Linked DNA regions of Saccharomyces cerevisiae S288C. The protein of the gene in region 1 interacts with the protein of each later gene in a pairwise test. Each region holds a gene or a part of one and is shown on either strand. Other genes may lie near its edges. The genes, in order: URK1 and OSI1.

Region 1 (3,978 bases):
ATTTTCCGGAGTCGGCTGGAAAATTTTCAATTGCTGCTCTTGGGGTAAATTTGCGTATATAGGAGTTATAATCATTTGTTTTGTTCTAGAACCTAATTTAGACATGATCTCCTCCAGTTTGGTTTTTGTTCTTTCAATTTCTTCTTGCCCCGTTAAAAACACCAATATATCCCCCGGTAAACTTTGCGTAGTATGAATTTGAAAAATAGTTGTTATAGCGGCATGTATATAGTTTGCCTCCGGCTGTAATGTGTAGTGGATATCTACAGGATATCTTCTCCCAGGAACGTTGAAAATGGGACAATTATCAAAAAACTCTGAAAATTTTTTTGCGTTCATTGTTGCTGATGATATAAGCAATTTTAAAGTGGGCCTCTGCGGCAAAATATCTTTCAGCAAACCTATCAGGATATCTGTGGCTAGAGTACGTTCATGAGCTTCATCAATCATAATACAAGAATATTTGCTTAATTTGGAATCTGTAAGAAATTCTCTTAGTAACATACCATCCGTCATATACTTTAGAACCGTTTTATTTGGGGTTGTTTTGTCTTCAAAACGGATCTGATAACCCACTTCCTTCCCAAGCACAACATTCATTTCATCTGCTACTCTTGCAGCAACAGAAGTGGCCGCCACACGACGTGGTTGTGTTATGGCAATCTGTAACTTTCCCTGATCAGTGAATCCATCTTCTACCAAATATTGGGGTAACTGTGTGGTTTTACCAGAACCGGTTTCACCCATTATAATCAAAACTTGATTTTTTTTGATCTCTTGTAGTAGCTCATCCTTGTATTGATGTACAGGCAAAAGTTTTCTTGCCTCTTGTATAGTCAGTATACGCTTTTCCTCAGTTTCTAAAGCTTGTGCTAGACGTGCCTCATATTGAAGTTTCTCTTCAGGTAGTAAATCGTCCTCCTCATTAGTATAATCAATCATTGCATCTGTGTCGAACACATAATCGTACTTGTCAGAGCCTTCCAATGTTATATCATCAGGGTGATCGCTTTGCCCCGCCATAGCATTTCGCAATTGTTGTTCTTCCCACATGCGTTGTCTGTTTATTTTGTCAATTTCTTTTGCATTCTTTATTTTATGAGTAACTTCTACGTTAAATTTAGAATTAGAAGAGGCGTACTTAGTTTCATTCTCGGAGTCACCTAGTAGACCCTTCTTTGTAGTAAGTTCATTATTTGACGTTATTTTTTCATCATACTTTGATGACTTTTTTTGTGATCCAAGTTGTTCTCCTTTTAAATTGTTCTTTTCTGGACCTTGGTTCGTATTAGAAAAAACTTTATTGGGGTCATAGCGTGATCGTTTTAGCTGCAAGGCAGAGTTCTTATCCTTGGCCTCTTTGTCTTCTTCCTCACCCAAGGAAGAAGGCTCTATTCTTACTGCATTGTCATTCTGTCTTGTAACTTCATACGTTCGTTTCACTCTTCGCTTACCGGTTTCAGATGTAATACTTGACATGTGTTGCTATACACGCTTGTTATCTATATAGATGCCAATTAAACATATAGCAGCTATCCGTTATTACTTATACAATTGATTAATATCACTTTTTAATTGTCCGGGTAACTAACTGTCTTCCACTTTCAGCACGTTCTCGTCATCAGGTTGTATGGGCTAGTACTGTTTTGGCTACATTTGAGATACGAGCACTTAAAGAATTCTTGCATATTTTCGATGATTAGTCTTTAATTTTCCCACTTGTTCTCACTATTTCCTCTATTGTCTTAATACGCTCACATATCGAAGTTTTTTTTTCATGCGATGAGCTTCGAGATGAAAAAAGGAAACTGAAAAATTTAGATCGATAAGATAAGAGATGTGATTTTTTTTTTTTTTCGTAAGGCTGTAGGCCTTGGATAACGTCTTATTTACTATTTATATGCGACATCTTCGATAATTTCATACGTTTAATTTCGAACTCGCATTTATTTTATTTATTATGTCCCATCGTATAGCACCTTCCAAAGAACGATCTTCATCATTTATTTCAATTTTAGACGATGAAACAAGAGACACATTGAAAGCTAATGCAGTCATGGATGGTGAAGTAGATGTCAAAAAAACAAAAGGAAAAAGCTCTCGGTATATCCCACCATGGACAACTCCATATATAATAGGTATAGGTGGTGCTTCAGGTTCAGGCAAGACAAGCGTTGCTGCTAAGATTGTGTCGTCAATTAATGTTCCCTGGACAGTATTAATATCTTTGGATAACTTTTACAATCCATTAGGCCCAGAGGACAGAGCCAGAGCCTTTAAAAATGAATACGATTTCGACGAGCCAAATGCCATCAACTTAGATTTGGCATATAAGTGCATTTTGAACTTAAAGGAGGGCAAAAGGACAAATATCCCAGTTTATAGCTTCGTCCACCACAATAGAGTTCCTGATAAAAATATAGTCATATACGGGGCCAGTGTGGTAGTTATCGAAGGGATCTACGCCCTTTACGATCGCCGATTGCTGGATTTGATGGACTTGAAAATTTATGTTGACGCTGATTTGGATGTCTGCTTAGCAAGAAGATTGTCGAGAGATATAGTTTCCAGAGGGAGAGATTTGGATGGTTGTATTCAACAATGGGAGAAATTTGTGAAACCAAATGCGGTAAAGTTTGTGAAACCAACAATGAAGAATGCAGATGCTATCATTCCATCGATGAGTGATAATGCTACAGCGGTAAATTTAATCATTAACCACATCAAGTCAAAACTGGAACTAAAATCAAATGAACACTTAAGAGAGCTAATCAAATTGGGCTCTTCTCCTTCACAAGATGTGCTTAATCGTAACATAATTCATGAATTGCCGCCCACCAACCAAGTTCTTTCGCTGCATACTATGCTTCTAAATAAAAATCTAAATTGCGCGGACTTTGTTTTCTACTTTGACAGGTTAGCAACAATTTTGTTATCATGGGCACTTGATGACATTCCTGTAGCACATACGAACATAATTACACCTGGTGAGCATACCATGGAAAACGTTATTGCCTGTCAATTCGATCAAGTTACAGCTGTTAATATTATTCGATCTGGCGATTGTTTTATGAAGTCTTTGAGAAAGACGATCCCCAATATCACAATTGGTAAATTGTTGATTCAGTCCGATTCACAAACTGGGGAACCTCAACTGCATTGCGAATTTTTACCCCCAAATATAGAAAAGTTTGGCAAGGTTTTCTTAATGGAAGGTCAAATCATAAGTGGTGCGGCCATGATCATGGCCATCCAGGTGCTTTTAGATCATGGTATTGATTTGGAAAAGATTAGCGTGGTGGTTTATTTGGCCACTGAAGTTGGTATCCGACGTATATTAAATGCATTTGATAACAAAGTCAACATTTTTGCTGGTATGATCATCTCCAGAGAAAAGTTACAAAATCATCAATACAAATGGGCATTGACCAGATTTTTTGATTCAAAGTATTTTGGTTGTGATTGAGAATAATTAGAGGCAATATAAAGTAAAATTAAATAATAGTGCACGTATACATACTATATTAGTAACCTTTCATTCTCTCTATGGATAATCTTAAAATCCCATTACTTTCAATATGCCATAACCTACTGTAACAATAGCGGCATAACTTAACAAACTGGCTGGTACACCTCTCGTAATAAATGTACCCACGGTCAAATATCTATCACCAACTTCATCAATCATTGAAATGGCAGTCACGTTGGGGAAACCAGAGGTTGGAAGACCCATAGCACTAGAGCATAATAGGGCGGCTATAACGATCAATAGTCTAGAATGATCACCTGAAGGTAGATTGGAACCGATCTCACTCATTAATGGTACGATGATCATTGCCGCGACGGTATGGGAGACAAAAGTGGCCATTACAAGAATCACTAGACCGAAGATCAACACAATAATGAAGATTGGTTCATGCTCAACCTGCGCCTTAATTAACTGTGCCATTGTAGACAATAAACCGGATGAGCTTACCG
Region 2 (3,588 bases), on another chromosome or scaffold:
GATGAAGCGGTGGCTCAATGGTAGAGCTTTCGACTCCAATTAAATCTTGGAAATTCCACGGAATAAGATTGCAATCGAAGGGTTGCAGGTTCAATTCCTGTCCGTTTCATTTTCTTTTTTTGCCATACATTTAGCGCTCCACACTCTAAATAAAGTATTTCTTCTTTTCTTGAAAATGATGTACTTAGGTTGATGAAATAGCCTCAGTTACTGGAATTTCCTTACCTTTGTCGTGTTACTGATAGTATATCTTAATCATTATTTCTTGTTTCAATCTGGATTTTGATTTGCGCGGCATATCGTTACCGCCTTTTGCATATTATAAATGGCTTATATAAGTATACAGCAACTTTCATATATTATAGATAGGTAATTGCCTCCACATCGAATCACATAGGATAAAGAACCGACTTCCTGCCGCGAATTTAGAGTTTTCACGTTATGTGACCATCTCAATTTTTAGAATATTTGCTAAGCCACTTGCTATTAAAACTTCATGGACAGGCCCCAGTATTATCGCAATAATACTGGAAACATCAACGAATGCTATAATAATGCGCATTTACTTTGGGCAAAAGAACTATTTAAAATTACGCATTACGTAGTTTATTTTGACATTATGATCATAAACATGCGCAAATCCTAAGATCGTGAATTACCTCTACTGCGAGAATACAAATTATAACATATGACTAACGTTACACAACATTGTATTACATTTCTGACTAATTTGAAGTCTGGGAGTTAATTGTAGTAGCCTACTAAATAGCGCGGTTATTTATAAAGCTAACATTACCATGTTACATGACATGCTATTTCTAGCGAGGTAAAAGCATTGCTCCGGCTTTTCGAAGATAAGTATTCCTTCAATTTCCAAATGTCACAACATAAAATTTTGATTTGCGTTATCTCTCGTTCTCTTTAATCACTACAATAGCATCAACCAAGTCAATAAAACATGTTGTGAAGAGACTACGCAGACGTGACGGTCATCTAGCAACTCTCCATCTTTTGATGCAGCCATCCACAGTTTATCGTGAGTTATGGCAAAATCCAAAAATGTACCGTACCATTTCCTCTTTAATCCTGTATTCAATAAGCAAGTTCCCCATTTCAATTGATCTACACATCACTGCGCGTTAAAGCGCACCTAATTTATTCGGTAGGAAACAGAAATAGTCTGCAAAGTCATTCAAGCACCTTTCTTTACCAAATGAAAGGATTTAATAGTACCTATGAAACAATAGTTCGAACTTTTGCCATTTCCCGGTTTTTTTGGCCAGCTTGTATAAAAGTGCACCTTACCCTTATATTGGGCTCTTATTGAATGCCTTCCGAAGAACTGACTATTCAAAAAATAGAAACAAGTACGTCAATAAAAAATTTTGCAATTCTACGAATAATTATTCCTGTTTCTTTAACCTGGTAAAAAAAAGTACAAACACTTAAGCTTTTTGAAACAGCTTTATTTTGCTTCATTAAATAGCTAGGATAAGAAATCCCTCATCCGAAAGGTTTTGTATCTAACTACCCTAGAGAACATTTGTCCTGATCAGGTTCATTTGGAGTTTATATTTTTTAGAAGCTCAAAGTTTGTTGGACTCATTACCATGGAAGAAAAAAAGAAGATACTACGAAATATTGGTTTCTCAGGTTAAATAAGGGACACCATTTTCCTATTAGGCTAGTCGAGCTTAGTTCTTCTAATTTCTTCAGATCTTCTATAATTTCCTATCTTCTACCTGATGTGTGCATGATATATCTATGAGCTCCTGATATTGCTTGTTTTACTTTAGCTTGCATGACTTGCAATAATCTAATCATATATGTTCCCGATTAATATACTGTGCACAAATTGCAGGACATATAATTTTTCCGTGGATTATATCTTCGATTAACGTCCGCGGGTCTCATAAAAAGCAAACCAACTTCGCAATTCCCTAGAAATACCTCAATAGAAAGTTATTTGTAATGAGATTAGTAATGAGATTAGCAATGAGATTAGTAATGAGATTAGTAATGAGATTAGTAATGTGATTAGTAATGCATAGCGGTATAAATGGTAGTACTAATAAGTAAGATAGTATACCAGTTATAATAAATAGGCGGCGATGCTTCAAAACTAATTTTTGACGTTTTTAAGAATAAAGCCTTTACCAGTGGCATAAATCAGTAGAATTCTAAGCAAACAAAGTCGATATGAATACTTCATCAAGAATAACTTACTTTATCATCGGTGGTAGCCGTGGAATTGGTTTTAATTTGGTCAAAATTTTAAGCGCTTCTACGGGCAATACAGTTATAACCTCTATTCGTGGATCACCTTCATTACCCAAGAACAAACAAGTGGAAGATTTAGCAAAAATCAGGAAGAATATCCATATTGTCCAACTTGACCTTACAAAGGACGAAAGTATTGGCAATATTGCGGACGAGATCAAGAAAACGCCATTCTTCTTGGGTATTGATATTTTTATCGCATGTTCTGCAGTATCTGATTCTTATTACAAGGTCCTGGAAACTCCCAAATCAGTCTGGCTCAACCATTATAGCACAAACGCTCTGGGTCCGATACTAGCCCTTCAAAAAGTTTATCCACTGCTTCTTTTGAAAAAGACGAGGAAGATATTCTTTATCTCTAGTGTTGCAGGATCTATCAATGCGTTTGTACCACTTTCTGTTTCCGCTTATGGTCAATCGAAAGCTGCCTTGAATTATGCGGTAAAGACGCTCAGTTTTGAATTGAAACCGGAGGGTTTTACTGTCGTTGCTTTTCACCCAGGTATGGTATCTACTGATATGGGCCAATATGGCCTTGATCATTTTAAAGAGAAGAATATAGACATCAGCGGCGTAAATATTATCACACCAGAAGAAAGTGCCTCTGCGCTAATTGATGTCTTCCGAAAAATTTTACCAGAAGATAATGGAAAGTTCTTCAACTATGACGGCAGCGAAGGCGTCTTTTAGATAAGTGCAAATTTGGCTACTTATATACAACTCAGATACGGAATATACCTTTGTGTAATACACTTTTTTATTGGTAGGTGCTATATGATGTGACTTTGCTTTTGCCTCACGCCCCTTTAAGAAGGTATTTTGTGGCATCACTTTGTATGCTGATCTTTTAACGCTTAACCAGATTTGAAACTATCTCTATTATGTCCTCTGATTTTAATTAGGATGGTATATAACTGGTCCTAGAACCGAAGATTCTGCATATTCGCCGAAAACCATCCCTTAATATTATAGACATAAATTGCCAGTCTGAGAAGAATCCAAGAATCTATTTCATAATGTACATTCCTAAACATTTTGAGTCCATGGAACTCTCAAGGTACAAATTATCAAAAAAACCCCCGCTAGGAACACTATTCTCCTCTAAGGCTAGCAGGCAAGGTTTCTTCGGATGGAGAACTTCTTCCAATAAAGATGACCCCGATTTTGGTATGTGCGCATCACATATTCCATTTGTATTCGTGGAGTTCGATAATGGAGAGCATAAACTTATTGCACATTTAGCACGGAAGAATAAACATGTGGAAATGCTGGAAAGAGTTCAAAAATGCTTAGTGGTATTTCAGAGCG

The links.
Region 2: the proteins of URK1 (region 1) and OSI1 interact in a two-hybrid assay, tested with the Saccharomyces cerevisiae proteins (one large-scale study listed by BioGRID).

The regions. Positions count from the first base shown.
Region 1 is NC_001146.8:645,472-649,449, forward strand, and holds URK1 (uridine kinase URK1), read left to right. Parts: upstream 1-1,960; coding exon 1,961-3,466; downstream 3,467-3,978. Other genes in the region: DEAH-box RNA-dependent ATPase PRP2, read right to left, coding at 1-1,479; PHO91 (Pho91p), read right to left, coding at 3,557-3,978. UniProt on the Saccharomyces cerevisiae protein: Catalyzes the conversion of uridine into UMP and cytidine into CMP in the pyrimidine salvage pathway.
Region 2 is NC_001143.9:302,915-306,502, forward strand, and holds OSI1 (Osi1p), read left to right. Parts: upstream 1-2,199; coding exon 2,200-2,970; downstream 2,971-3,588. Other genes in the region: YKL070W (uncharacterized protein), read left to right, coding at 3,297-3,588.